Linked DNA regions of Diceros bicornis minor. The protein of the gene in region 1 interacts with the protein of each later gene in a pairwise test. Links are inferred from orthologs where the notes say so. Each region holds a gene or a part of one and is shown on either strand. Other genes may lie near its edges.

The links.
Region 2: the proteins of PRKAR1A (region 1) and AKAP1 interact in a two-hybrid assay, tested with the Homo sapiens proteins (2 studies listed by BioGRID and IntAct). The link is inferred for Diceros bicornis minor from reciprocal best matches to the Homo sapiens genes PRKAR1A and AKAP1.

Annotation. Positions count from the first base shown.
Region 1 is NC_080757.1:50,074,418-50,081,644, forward strand, and holds the start of PRKAR1A (cAMP-dependent protein kinase type I-alpha regulatory subunit), read left to right. Parts: upstream 1-4,193; 5' UTR 4,194-4,272; intron 4,273-4,551; exon of another isoform or gene 4,552-4,660; intron 4,661-5,101; exon of another isoform or gene 5,102-5,120; intron 5,121-7,227. UniProt on the Homo sapiens protein: Regulatory subunit of the cAMP-dependent protein kinases involved in cAMP signaling in cells.
Region 2 is NC_080757.1:30,451,664-30,459,869, reverse strand, and holds the start of AKAP1 (A-kinase anchor protein 1, mitochondrial), read left to right. Parts: upstream 1-4,974; 5' UTR 4,975-5,047; intron 5,048-5,663; exon of another isoform or gene 5,664-6,396; intron 6,397-6,689; exon of another isoform or gene 6,690-6,813; intron 6,814-8,206.

The DNA.
Region 1 (7,227 bases):
GGGCCATGACTCATTCATCTCTGCATCCCCACACCCAGTGCCTGCAGTGTGGACGCTCAGGAAACATTTGTAAAAGCTTCTGGACCTGGGATCCATGCAGAGATGGGCTTCAGATCTCTGAGTCCCCTGAAATAAGAGGATAAATGTCTTACGTGTGTCTGTTTGGGCATATTTTCTGAGGAGAAAGCCCATTGTTTTCATGAGCTTCTCAGTGGGGACCATGACCAAAAAAAAAAAAAAAAAAAAATTAAGATTTCCTGGAAGAGGTATAGATACATGGTCAGTAAAATGCTAACATGGGGACAAATTAACAAGATTTGTTGACTTAGTCAGTTTGACAGAATCAAAGAAAGTTCCTGATTCTAGTCAACACACTCGAAAGGTCTGTGTGGGTGACAGACTCATCACTATTTTTTTAAAGCCTCAGATCCATAACCTATAGATATAAGGTGAGCATTAGTTAAAAATAGTTTAGGCAAGGGAAATTGATATCAGAGGGAGAATATTTAGAAGCAATTCATACAAATATCTGGGCTTGACTTGTTTGTAATGATTAATTTTACGTGTCAATGTGGCTAGGCCCTGGTATCCAATTTTCAGTCAGAAATTAGTCTAGATGTTGTTGAAAGTATTTTTTGGATGTGATTAACTTTTATATCAGTAGATTTTGAGTGAAGCAGATTACCCTGCATAATAGGTGGGCCTCACCCAATCAGTTGAAGGTCATAATAGAAAAGATTGAGGTTCCCCGAGGAAGGAGTTCTGCTTCTAGACTGCCTTCAGACTCAAGGTTGCAATATCAACTCTTTCGTGGATTGCTAGCCTGCCGGCATGCCCTGCAGATTTTGGACTTGCTGGCCTCCACAATCACACGAGCTAATTCCTTAAAATAAATCTCTTTTCTCTCTCTTTCTAGATACACGTTCTATTGGTTCTGTTTCTCTGGAGAACTTGACTAATACAACTCTCTATCTCTCTTGTGGAACATTGTGGATTTAAATATGCTATTTTGGATGAAGATATTTTTATTAGACCCAAGATTGCCACACTTCTGGTTTCATGGTTAATATTTTCAATTAATGCTCAAGATAAACACTCATTCCCCATGTAGATAAGCATTTGCCAGTGAGAAAAATAGGAAGACTTTTGGCATTTGAATGCTTGCTGGAATTGGGTTATGTCTGAAACCACAACCTTGGGTTGCACAGGAAGCATAAATCCTGGGCACCACCGCACACCAAATAGGTGGTGGTAGTCTGAAAAGGTCTCCTTGGAAATCTGAAATATGTGGATTCGTCCTTAGCCAATGGAAACCTTAGGCATAAGAAACACTAAGAATGGGCCACAAGGGCCAGCCTGGTGGCTTAGCGGCTGGGTGCGCGCGCTCCGCTGCTGGCGGCCCGGGGTCAGATCCCGGGCGCGCGCCGATGTGCTGCTTCTCTGGCCATGCTGGGGCCGCGTCCCACATACAGCAACTGGAAGGATGTGCAGCTATGACAGACAACTATCTACTGGAGCTTTGGGGGAAAAATAAATAAATAAATAAAATTATAAAAAAAAGAAAAAGAATGGGCCACAAAAGTGTTCCTTCCTTTTGTGTATTGGCTCTCTCAGTTCTACTTCTGCTTACTAAATGGACCACTGATATTTACTTTGCTTTAAGATTGTTTGCTATTGTTTTGCAAACATCATTAACAGCATTTGAGGAACTTTGTTTTAAAGAAAAAAGTTTACTTACAGCCCCACTATCCTAGAAACTTACTTTGTTGAGCTTTTCAAGGACACAGGCCAAAGGAAAGGCCTGTCAAAGGACCTTGGCATCAAAGGCAGAGTCCTCTGGAGAAGGGGAAACCGCACAGAAACGACAGGAGAGCAATTGTCATTTCTGAAATGTAATTTACAAGTTGTCATTCTCACAGCGGCCCGGTGGTACTGAAAGGGCATTCACACCATTTGGAAACCACTGTGGCTCTTTGGTTTTTCAGAACAGCTGTCTCAGTGAACTCTCCCCAGGCTCAACTATCTCCTGTCCATTTCCCTTTTTGTCTGTTAAAGCCCCAGCATATGAGGATTTGGCAGCCAGAACAAGGCTGAACGCGACTGACACAGGAAACAGGCCCGTGGCTGGACAGATGCCCAAATGCAGCTGAATGGGGTCACACACCCGTGCTAAGGCAGGGAAACAGCTGTCACTCAAAGCACTGGGCTTAATATCACCAGCTTGCTTGTTTCCTTATTCTAAGTGTCTTAATGGACTTAGGGAGGTAACACTACTGTTGGGACACAGTACAACTCAGTCTTAAGCTTGTAGTTTGAGTGGCGCTTTAGGAAGAGGGAGAAGTGGGAAGTAAACATTTATTTACTGCATCCCACACTGTGCTGGGCACCTTATTTATATATACTATGCTGCAAAGGAGAGTGAGTGATTAAAGATCACTGCCTGGGTGTGAGCCACACTAGCTGTGCGGCCTTGCGCACGTCACTTAACTCTTCATGCCTCATTTTCCTTCCGTAACAATAACGCAATAATAGTACCCACGCCATAGAGTTACTCTGAGGATTAAATTAATTATTATGTGTAAAGCACTTAGAACAGTGCCAGGAACATAGTAAGCACTGTATGCGTCTTTGCCATTATTATCTTTACTAGTTAATTTTAACAGAGCCCTGCTTATCCTTTTATGATGGAAGAAACTGAGGTTCATGGCGATTAAGTCAATTACCGGAGATGGCAGAGCCTGAAACCACACTCAGATTTATCTGACGGCAGTGTTTTCTTCTTAGAACACGATCGGGCCTGCTCAATGCTATCGAATTCCCTCTCCTGCTTGCCAGCTTAGGGTTCAGTTTATTAGACCTTCTTTGTACTGACGAGGGTGAAATCCTATACGACTGAGGCGCTGTCCTTAATCCTCCATTCCTCCCATCCCTGGCGAAAGGCCAGGTCAGCATGAGGAGGGGTCAGTGGGAGGGGAAACTTCCCTCCTACATTCTTCTGTGGGCCTAATCGGCCCTTGTGATGTTGCCTACACTTGCTCTTTCAGAAAGCAGAGGATAACTCTAACTAACTAAAAGAAATACTCTGATGAGCAGGACGCTTATCACACTGCTTGATTTAGGGGAGCAGTTGGCCTCTTAGGGCAGTGCTGTCCAAAAGAAATAAAACATCAGCCATATATGTAATTAAAATTTTTCTAATAACTATATTAAAAAAGTAAAAAACAAAGGCGAAATTAATTTTAATCGTATTTAACCTAATATATCCAAAATGTTACCATTTCAATCTGGAAACAGTATAAAAATTATTGAGATATTTATATACTTTTTTTGTACACAAACCCATTGTGTATTTTACACATACAGCTCTGGAGCTATATACCATGCGATATAGCAGGTACAGTCCGACACAAGAATTTGTGTCCTCCACGGGCCTTTTTCATTTAGCGACTTTATGTGCCTAAAACTGTCCCCGGCTTCCCCTTTCTTCCTCCACGGGCAGATACTCTGATGGTAAAAAATGGCTGAGGCAGTAAAGAAGTCGCTTTTTCCCCCCTAGTCATCCCTGACTAGCGCAGTTTTTGAGGGCAGTTGAGATTTCTTGTGTGGTCACAGAGGGCTTATGCCAATCGGCACGCTTTGTACTTCTCACCATGCGGGGTCAGGCGTGATGATGGGGGGTATTTCAGGTTCTAGAAGGATTGAGGCCTCTCTCGGACCCTGACAAAGTCCTTTCCAGTGTCTTGTGCTCATAGGGACCGTGTGGCCTCCTTTGACGACAGCACCTCCGGAGGGGAGAGCAGCTCGATCTGCCAAGCAGACACTTGGCGGGGCTCAGATTTCCTGGACCGGATGGCGGGCCCGAGCCCGGAGGCCCGCGCGGCGCTGGCCGGGCACAGGATGAGCGGCGGGGCGTGCGCATCCCGGGCATCCGCCCGGGCTCGGCCCGCGGCGCAGCTGCCGCAGATCCGCCGGGGCCGCCGCCTCCTCCGCGGACTGGAAAAGGCAGGAACCTTCCCGCCCCGGCCCCGCGTCCTCCCCCGGCAGGGGCCAGGGGGCGGAGTCGCCCACCTGTCATCCGAGACGCCCCACGTGGGTCGGCCCGGGGGGGGGGGGGTGGGAGTTGAAGGGAGGGAGAAAAGGCAGAGGCGGCGAGGGAGGCAGGAGAGTGGGGAGGAGAGGAGCAGAGGAGAGAGAACTCCCGATAGCCGCGCAGAGAGCTAGCGAAGAGCAGAGGAAGAATAAAGGGGACCCGAGGCATCCAGAGAGGAACAGGTAAGGAGGGGCAGGTGAACCGAAGGAGGGAAGCACCGGGCTAGAGAGAATGGGGAAAGGAAAAGACGGGAGTGAGGAAGGGGCTGCGGATAAGAGACCAGGTAAGACAGAAACGAGCAGAAGGAGAAAGATTTCAGGATGAAGAGGGGCGGGGGAAGACCTGGGGCCGCGGCGCCTTTAAGGTTGCCAAGGCGACGGCTCTGGCCAGAGCGAGGCGCATTGACGTCGGCAGCCGAGCGCTGATTGGCTGCGGCCAGGTCGTTTCCGGTGGAGCCGCGGCGGAGCCGCTATCGCAGAGTGGACCCTGGCTGGGAGGGAATCGCTGGGAGACCTCAGCCAGCTGCAGCCTCGCACCCTCAGCCCCGTGCCCGCCGCCGCCCGTCCCCAGGTGAGTGGGGTGTGTCGAGGGCCCCGGCGCGGCGAGCTTCGCCGCCCCGCCGCCCGTTTGGGGGCGCTGGACCGATCCAAGATGGCGTCACGGGGAGCGACCTGCAGGGGAACGGCCGCACCCCCTGCCCCTCCCCGGCCCCGGCGGGCGCCTCCCCGCAGGCCTCACGACCCGGGCCGCCGGCCCCGAGTCTGCACCTCCGAGGGCCCCCGGGCCGCCGGGGCGTCTGCTCCGGTGCGGGGTTTCCCCGCCGCCCCGCCCCCTACTCCTCTCCGGCGCGCTACCCCCACTCCGCGCCCCCAGGCCCCCGGCCTCTGCGGCCTTCCCGAGCCCTCCGCGGCCATCGCGCCCCCGCCTCCTCCGCCCCCGCGCGCCGCGGCCTCTTCGCTCGCCCTCCCCCCTTTCCTGAAGGACGACAGCTCGATTTTACCGGAATCCGCCATCGTTTCCCGCAGCGTTTGTGGGTGATCTCGAGACCTAGCCGTTCTTGTTTTCCTCTCTGCTGTCTCCTGCTTGTCATGCCTAGCAGTCGCTTTCCCTCTCTTTCCCGAGATTACTGCCCCCCCCCACCCCCCAGGATGATCTTAGGCTGGCTCAAAAATTTCCTTTTGTCGTCTTTCACCTCCCTTCCTTTCCTGATTTTTTTTCTCTGAGGGGTCCTCGCCGCCGCTGTGGTCTTCCGACTAGAGTAGGATGAAGGATCGGCCTCCCGTCTTCTTTTTGTGGCCATGACGGTGGCATAAGTGAAGTGAAGGGCACTTTTCTGTCCTTCCTCTCGAAAATACGCGATACCTGTTAACCCGTCCAGCTCAGTGCAGGTGTGATGCCAGACGACTTAACTACTTGAGAGATTCCCAAGAGATCGGTCTTTTCAGCAGAGCACAGAAAGCTAACACTTCCTTAAGATGACCGCAAGGAAGTGTTCCTGGCTGGTCTGGGGGGCTGCGGTCTGAATCAGCAAGTTTCTCACTGTTTTAAGTATTTCCTCGCGTGTAATCCTTTTCAAACTGAATTTTATCACAACTGAATTTCCAAAAGAAGGAATCTGAGTATTTTCTTATGAGTAGAGACAATGCGGTGGAAGTGTTAAAGTAGTCAAGTAATTTTTGGGCGGAGAAGCTCAATTGTTGGGCTCTTAAAACTAAGTACAAGTACAGAGTTAATCTAGGTATGTTTGATTAAAAATATTAAGACCATGAAATTTCAGTATTTGGTGGTTTATATAGTGACTGCGTTAATCTTGGGACATTTTTGTTAATGTGCTACCTTATTATCAGCGTCATCTTTTTGGTCTTTTTAATACATTATTTCAGACAAAAACCAATTTCATCTCTGAGACCCAATTCTCTCATTTCTATCAGTCAGAGACCTGATTTTTGAATGATTTCTCTGATCAGTTGAATACATGTATTGATATTTCTGAAATATGTCTGAATGTTTTGAAGCACAAAGGATCTGATTTATCATTGTTCTTGAGGGCCTTCAGTGTTATTTGCTATACAGAAAATTCTACTGAAGTGGATTCTGAGTTTATATGATTCACTTGGAAAAGTGGCTGGTATAAATCTGTCCTAAAGTTAATGACCCTTTTTTTTTTTTTTGGAGTGTCTATTTCTGATGTAGCAGCATGATTCTTTTTCCATGCCTCTAATTTATGTGCCTGTCAGGGAGCTACACACTTTCTCATGGTCTGTTAATTAGTCTACTCGTTATTGACCTTTATCATGAAAGTTGTCAAAACAAAATGACTAACAGTGTAGCACTTGAGCTCTTTACTCTGGTATTTCTTTCTCTCTCTTTTTAAATTTATAGTTTTACCTCAGTGGTTTTGTGTACATTATATTTGGAAAAGTCCGATTAGTATTGAATTCAGTTGCAGAGTGGAGGGCACCTGGATTTTATCTTCTCATCTTATTGCTTAGTACAGTAATTAGGAGTTGGAAGGAAAACAGTTTATGACTCTGTTGTTAAATTACTAAACTTTAAATTCCAGGGTAAGGTTAGCTGCTCATTATTATGTATCTGTTTACTTCACATCAAGGTAGTTGGAACCCTGTAAAATTCATTAAATGCAATTTATCTATTGCATCTTCACGTAAGTTTAAAATTTAACGTGTTTTGACATTTTCCTGTCCAAATCTTTTATCGTTTACTTAGCAAGGTTTTTTTGGTCTGTTTTATTTTTTTTCTATTAAGGATCTTCCCTCCTACCAGTGGGTGGTGAGTGTGTTATCATTTAGGGCTGGAATGTAGTAAAAGAGTGTGGAATAAAAGGTTGCTTTTAAAATTCATCTGAGGTTCCTTATGTGTTTTTAAAATTTTTGATTATACTAGTAGTTGGCTAATCAGATCCTCTGCTCCAGTGATTTCTTGGGAGACATTAGAACACTCCCCTGGGGTAGGCGTTACGTATAGGGAATGTCAGATGTTCTTCCTTGTGCTTACTTGCTGTCACTTAGAGCTAACTTGTGTGCCCTTGTAATTCTCTGTCCTGTTTACCATTTACACACTTCCCACGTCACCATGATTTCTTTTGCAGGGGGAGGACTGAATGAAATTCCCTCAAG
Region 2 (8,206 bases), about 20 Mb from region 1:
GTAGAACTTCACCCTGCCTGAAGTAGTTTGCAGAGTTTCTTAGGCTCAATTTCCAAACTGAACCACCATTCGAAGAAGCTGGGAAAACTGGAGGGTACTCTGGGAAATGGCCAGCCATACCCCTGCCAGCCACCACTGAACAGAACCAGAATTAAGAACTTAACTACATGGCTAGAAAAGTCCCAGAAAGTATGTGGTGGTGTTGGTGCCAGAGCCTGGGTAGTGTCTATTCGAGGCCCCTTCATCATAGCCACTTGGATGGGGCCTCTGCCCTGTGAAGCCAGGGCACATTGGGTCTGGAGGGGAGGAAGGGGACAGCCCCCTTTTATCACCTGCTGAATGACTTCACATTCCCTTTTTCTACCTGGCATCCATGGGTTCAGGAAAGAAGGGCACTGTGTCAGTTTCCTAGGACTGCTGTAACAAAGTACCAAAAACTGGGTGGCTTAAAATAGTAGATTTATTGTCTCATGGTTCTGGAGGAAAGAAGTCCAAAATCAAGTTGTCAATAGGACTGAGCTCCCTCTGAAACCAGTAGAGGAATCCTTCCCAGCCTCTTCCTCACTTCTGGTGGTTTGCTGGCAATCTTGGACTTTCCTTGGCTTGCAGATGCATAAATCCAATCCTCTGTTGTCACACGGTGTTCTCCCTGTGTATCTCTGTCTTCACGTGGCCATCTTCTTATAAGCACACCAGCCGTACTGCATTAGGGGCCCAATCTACTCCACTATGACCTCAACAAATTACATCTGCCCCATTTCCAAATAAGGTCCCATTCTGAGGTACTGGGGATTAGGACTTCAACATAACTTTTTGGGGGGGACACAATTCAATCTATAGCAGACATGCCCCTGTATAAATCTGCTCCTAGGATCTTTAGGTCTGCCTACAGCAGCAGTTAGTGAGTTGGTTAATCCATGGGCTCCAAGTCAGATTGCTTGCGTTAAAACCTTGCCTCTGCAGCTGTGTGACTAAAGGGAATGTAAAATGTATACAGTATAACAAGAGTATCTAGTTTTTGAGGTTGGTGGAGGATTAGGATAAAGTACTTTGCACAGTGCTGGGCATTAAGTGCTCATTAAGTATTGGCCATTAATATTGTTATTCCCCATCTCTTTCCATTGACTCGTCTAGGAGCAGATCATTTATTCTTCCCTGCAAACACACATGGCCCCAGGCCATAACCAAGTGCTTCTTCAGTTTAAGGGAATAGCGAGTGGGGTGGAGAGTGGGAGGGGTTGGGTTCCACTTGTTTATTCTGTTAAACTGAAGGAGTAAAGACACTCCTTCACTGTATTGCCCATAAAGGAGACAGTTCATATTTGTTTGCACTGAAAAAGTTCCTTCTGTAGATGCTTCCAGTAGGAAAGGCAGGACATTTCTCAACTATGTGCCCCCTTAAGTTGGAGGGGCTATCAAGAGAAAACAACTGGCTGACTTTATAAAAGAGCCTCACAAGATGATGTTTTGATGAAATTCCCTAAGGCCCGGCATCAAGCCCTCACTCAGCTTTATGACAGGCTCAGAAACTTCACCATGTTCGAGTCCCAGAACTGAAAGCTGAGTCAAACAAAAAGCATTCACAAACCACACCAGATGTAGAAAACAAGAGGGCCACTTACGTAATTTACAATGACAAAAATCTACCTCTCAGGCGGACCAGTGCCTTCCACATGTCCAACCACGACTTCTCTCCTTGAGCAGAATTATACCAGAAGGTTGCCTGGTGAGGATGGAGTCAGAATGAAGGGTGGTGTGCGTTATAGACTTTCAATGAATCATTGCATCGGCTTCTGATCAGACCGTTTCCACTTATCAGAGAAGGCAGCTTCTACATTAGCTTGTGTTGGGGACCTCCTCCCTTAAGTGGGCACTGCCCACTTCTTTTTTGTCTCCTTTTAGTGCTTTATTATTCATCCCTTCCTTCTGACTGACATAATCTTTTTTTTTAGATACAGCATTACCTTCTCTCTTGCTCTATTTACCAGATCCTTATTCTTTTTTTTTTTTTTTATGTCAGGATCACAGAATCTGATAGAAGTTATCCATAACTATTTCTGCAGAAAAACATCATACTTATAAAACCATGTGAGCAATTTCAGGGGGTTCGTGGATTTCCTTGAAGCTGTTTTATGCATCCTATCTTAAAATCTTTGCCTTCAGCAGACACTTTGCCCATTTTGAGCTGATGTTCAAGTTTAAGTCTAACAATGTAGTCCTATTTTCCTCATGGCCAAGTTCTTAGGATCACCTTCCACCCTCACCTCCCTTCTCATAGCACCTTCTAATCTTATACTAGGGCCACCCCGTGACCTCTGAACTGCCCTGACCTGTGGCCACCTCCTCAGCCACAGCTGCTGGGTTGATCTCTGGTTGTGGTTTCAGTTCATCCTGTGCTCTCCCCTTTGACTCCTGTCTTGTACTTTCCCTTGTATTCCGGTTACCCCTTTCCTTTATTCTTCCTCATTCCTTCCATCCTGGCAGGCTCTGCCCCTGTCTCCAAGCACAGGATATGACTGACATATTGATCGCATTTGCCCCCTGCTTTCTGTCCCTCCCTCTCATCACCACATTCAGAGCCTCATCTCCTCTTTCTTCTACTCTCTCCCTCTCCTCATTTTTTCCTACCAATGCTTCCAGGACTTACCCCACTAGACATCATTTTTTCAATTTCTTCCCTGTAGGCACTTCCCACCTCCACCATCACCAGGGCATTGTCCTTCTTTAAAATATCTGCTTTGTACGTGATTTTCAATACATATTTGTATTTCCCACCCAGACCACTCCTCTGAGCTCCAGGCTTGCACATCCAACTTAATTACTGTTTGCATTTAGATGTCACAAACACAGTACAAACGTAAGGGGTCCGAAATGAAACTATGGATTCTCTGCCCCCATCTTGCCCCATCTCAATAAATTGTACCCCATTTCACACAGTAACTCAAGCCAGAGGAAGCATCATTCATTGTCCCCTTTTCCTTACCCCCAATAACATGAGTGAGTCTTGTTGCTACTACTTCCAAAATATATCTTGAGTCCCAAGCAGTCTCTTCATACCCACTGCCATGACTCTTAGCTCAGGCCAGCATCATTTCTCACCTGGACCACTGCATCAGCCTCCCAACTCGTCTCCCCACTTCTGTGCTGGTCTTCCTCTAATCCATTCTTTCCACGGCAGCTACAGCTCCCTTTTAAAAACAGAAATTATGTTGTGTCACTCTCTACTTAACTCTCTTTAATGGCTTCCCATTCATTCACTGAAGCCATTTTTACTGAGTGTCCTCCATGTGCCATGCCCTCAATAATGTGTCCTCTCATGAACAAATGAGGTATATAGTATGTAGATAGTGGTAAGTACTATGAAGAAAAATAAAGAAGGGATAAGGAACAGGGAAGTGTGTGTGTGTGTGTGTGGTTACAATTTTAAATAGGGAGTCCAGGGAAGGCTTCACTGAAACTGAGTAGGTGACCTTTGAGCAAAGGACTTGAAAGAGGTAAGGGAGTGAGCTCTGCAGAATATTCCAGTTGGAGGGAATAGCAAGTGCAAAGGCCCTGAGACAGAAGCATGCCTGGCTTTGGGGCTGAGCAGAGTAGAATACAATTCAAGCTTTACTATGGTTTGTAAGGCAGCGCAGTTCCCTCAAAAAATAAAACCTCCTCCCTCTAGGTCTCCAACCTTCTTTTCCAGCACTGTCCCCCCACCCCACACACACACCCACCCCCGAGATTCCATCCACCCTGATCTTCCAGTTCACAAGAAGCTGTTTTGCCTGTGTTGTTGCCTCTGCTGGGCATACTCTCCAACTCCTACTCCCAAATACAATTTGCAAGGCCAGCTCCTTCTCACCTAGTAGGCTTCAGTTTAAATTTCACCTTAGTCCTTTTCCAACTACACCACCTAAAATAGATCTCTTCTTGTTATTTCTTTTCTATTTCAGCTTCCTATTTGTTTCCTTCATGGCATTAATCACACCGTGCAATCGGGATTCATATATACTATAGGAATTTATACTTAAAACTCAATAGGTAAATGCTATCTCACTGCCATTTAAATTTGCATTTGATCACCAATGAAGATGAAGCATTTTCCCAAGTAATGGTTTGTTCTTAGCATGATCTCTTTTCTATATTGTGCCCAAACAAATGTTCACTTAAAGTCCCTATGCCTTAAGACTGAGAGCAGGCCTGGCCAGCGGGAACCCCACCCTGTCCACTTGTCTGGGGGCAATTTATTTTCCCAAGTTTCCTAGCGGAGTCAGTGACTCATGGTGATTATTTCTTCATGGGAATTATTCCAAAAGCCAAACCCACTTAGAGGAAAGTGTTTCGCTTCGACATCACCAAGGTGTGAAAATGGGCAAGCACCTTGCATTTAAGTGGTGGCAAGTACTCCCATTACGCGGTTATTATTGAGCAATTATTAATGGCCACCTGATTATGCATACAATGTAATGACAGTTGCAGGGAAGCAAAGGGAGCCCTGCCCCTCACCGGCCCCTTGGCCTTTTTCAGGGGGCTCTCCATGACGAGGCAGGCAGATGGTCTAACTGACCGCTCGAGATCGCCCAGAGCCGAGGCGGGAGAACCCGCGCTGGGACCGGGCGGGGCAGAACTTCGAGGTTCCCGGGGTTCTGAAAGCTCCGGCCAGGCCCCTCTCCCGAGCTCCGCCGAGATTACAGCTCATCTCGCGAGAGCACGAGCAGGACCCGACTGTGGGCGGCGGCGGCGGGATGTTGGCTGAGCCCTCCTGACCGCGCCCCCTCTGGCGCAGCTGGGAGAGGCCTGGGCGGGAACGGCCGGCGGCGCGCACGCGCAGGTGAGCCGAGCGGGCGCGGGGGCGCGAGGGCGGGGGGCGGGGCCTTGCGTCGCGCCGCGGGCACGTCGCTGCGCGTCCTCAGTATTTAATGTCTCTGTGTTCCACCGGCCTGGGCGAGCACGTGGGGGAGCGGCCGCGGCGCAGCTCTGCGGGGCCGGGCCGCGGGGCCGAGGCGGGAGGCGGGGGGCGGCGGCGCCAGGACTCTGCATCCCGGCGGTCGCCGAGGAGCTGGTAAGTTGGGGCCGCCTCGGGACCACCTGCCGGGGCCCTGAGGGCGACGCCGTCGGGGTGATGGGGAGCCGAGTCTGCAGGTGCGGGGTGCGACGCGCGCTCCAGGTGTCCCGGGGACCGAAGGCTCCGGACGCCGAGCGCGTGCAGAGGGTCTCCGGCCCGTCTCCTGCTGTCAAGCAGGCCCTTCTTTCCCTTTCGTCGTTCTGCGCGCCCCCTCGTCCTCCCCTGCCAGGGTTGTCTGCCCGCGGGCTCCTGCTGACAGGTCGCGTGTGCGTGGCTGGGGGGCGCGCTCTGCAGCCGCGCTCTGCCCCCCACGCGCGTCATCATCCTCGGGGGCGAGGGGCGAGGACGCGACGCCCCGGGGACCGGTCTTCGGCTTAACTTTCCCGGAGCGCGCACGCCCTCCGGTGAGACAGACCTGAGCGCGTCCCACCCAAGGTCGCCCAACCCCACACGCGTTTACTTTTCAAAGGTCGTGTGTACCCAGTCTTAGCCGGGAGCGGCGGCGGGGGGGCGGGCTCTGGGCAGGGCCTGGTGCTCAGAAGGGCGAGGAGGTCCCCTACGGCCCGCGGGCACTCGTTTCCCCGTCCTGAGGGGTTGGAGTTGAATTGGTCACTTCAGGAACCTCCCCGACTTCTGGGCCCCTTTAGCTCGCCCTGGCTTGCTCCCCACCTAGGCCTGGCGGTTGCCCACCCGAGCAGGTAGCTCAGCCCCTGGGAGTTCAGTGCGGCGAACCAGGAGAAAGGGCTTGGTTTGCGGACCCGGGAGGATAGGCTAGGAGACCGGTTGTGATTGGAACCCTGTTTTGGGCAGAGGGACCGCTTGAACCTAGTTAGGGTCCCGAGGTCAAAGCCTTGGTGTCTCGAGAGGATAAGCATTTGCAGCCCCTTAAAGGGTGTCCGGAGAGGCGAGGCCGTCCTGCCCGGTGCGCCCGCTGACTTCATGCCCCGGGGCGCGTGGGTCACATGTCGCGCTCCGCCTGCACACCGCCCCCAGCCGGCCGGCGGTCTGGAGGGACCACGCTAGTTTCGGGGTTAGGGTCAAAATTATGCTTGGAGAGGCTGTAGTCTGGACGCTTCGGGGGCGGGCTTTCGCCAGTTCAACTATTTTGTGCCCTGGCATACGGTTCCTCCCGTTTCCCTTCCAAGAGAGGCTTAAGGAAGGAAAGGAGCTGTTGGTGGTGGGCGGTGCCGACCTGACCCGAGACAGCTTGGAAGTGCCGGGTATTTCGCGATCTTCCTCTCCGGCGGAGACGCCCAGGTTGGCGGGCGCTTTCCTGCTCCCCGGCCGCCGCTAACACAAAGCCGGTGGACTTCGCTCCAGGTGTGAGGGGAGGCCTCTCAAGCCAGGTAGGGTGTCTGGGCACGGCAATTAGGTTAAACAAGCCATCTTGCCCTTACTGAAGTAAGGCTGCAGCGGGCTTCTTGGTGTTTAAATTTATTTCCTGCAGGGAGCTATGGGCTTCTGGCCCCGTGGTGCATCATAATCTGTTGGTTGCTCACAATTACTGATGAAGGAACACCTTATTGTGCTCTTGTAACTAAGTCTTCCCCAAATTAGTGGTTTTTTTTTTTTTTTTAACTATTTAGAAAACAAAGCTTGGAATCTTAGTAAGCAACATCCATCTCTTTTGCTCTTAAAGGTACAGAGCATCTTTGAAATGAAGAGAGAGCAGCAGCATTTGAACATTTATCAGATTCCTCTGTTCTTGGCTCTCAAGTGGTTCACCTGCTGATTATTTAAGACTTTCTGAGCACTGGAAACAAGTTAAGTTTTGTTTTGGGAGCTTTTGGACTTGTGTTGAACCTTTGCTCTTTCACCACTTCACTAGTTTTGTGGGTTCTGGGTAATAATTGCTGGGTATATTCTCAGATGAAGTATGGCCCAGGGCTAGGGGAGGTCCTCTAGATCCTACAGGTATGCAAATCACAGAAGTTTCAGTGCCTACCTGGGTGAAATAGGCTGTATTGTCACGTGTATTGTTAGGTGATGGCCCAGAATTTGCAGGTAACTGATCTTATCCAAGCCTGTGAATGGATTTGTGTCTAGCTGGAGCCCTTTGTATGAATGTCAGTTCCTCCTCCCAGCTGTTTCTAGGAAATACATTCACACCTGGCCACTGCAGCATGACAGTGAAGGTGTCTGATGTAAGTGGCCTGCTCAGGTGCCAAGTGGATGTGTCTCCAGTGTAAGGTTGCTGAGCATCAATATTTTAAAGCAATTTGTTTTGCTCTACCTGGTAACCCACATTATTCTTGGCTTTGGACCCAGCCAACTCATAGCCATCGTTTGTGGTGAAGGTGAATTTTACCCTTTGCGGTGTTCTCTCTCCTCATCCCAAAGACATATTGAGATAATATAGTGTTTGTGAGACTTGGCGCTAGGCCTGGTACATGATAGTGCTCAAGCATTGTTGCTTTTCCTCCTAAAGAATTCTGAGACTAACATTTTCTCTTGAATCACTAGCGTGATTTGAATTTTATTAGAAGTTCCCCTCCCCTCCAGCCTCTGACCTGGAAACTTGGTTGAAAGGAAAAGGAAAACAAAGTGGTTTCCCCACACTTTGCCAGCCAGCCTCCTGGCTCTAGCCTGCAACAACATGACCCGATGGAACACACGTTTCAGGGCCTGGGGGACTGTGCACCCCATGTCCTTGACGAGCTGCTGCCTGCCAGCCCATTCTACCCAGGCCGCTCCTTCCTAATCTTCCCTGTGAGTGCAGGTTGGTCTGTGCTGTTGTGGGGCAGTTGACAGTTTTGTGTTAATACTTTCAGCTGGCCATTCTGAGGAGTGTTCCTCTGCTCTGGGGAGGTGGTGGGTCCTGTGGGCCTCTTGTCCCACTGGAATAATCTCATACTGTTTGAATTTCTAATTTACGTGGGATGTATTTTAATCCGAAACCTTGCTTCTTAAGGCAAGTTCTGTTTCTTCCACATCCCTTTCTGGCGTAATGCCTCACATGGGTTTCACCTTTGTGATCATTCAGCATTAAGTACCCACTGTATGTGGCACTCCGCTGGGCAAACCTGCTGGCCCTAGTACCTAGTTTTAAACTTGGGTTGTGGAAAACATGTCAGTGACAATGTTCTGAGTAGGACAGTCTGGCTGGAGAAGTAGCTGGCGGGGATGTGGGAACTGATGTTTAGAGGATGCTTTTCC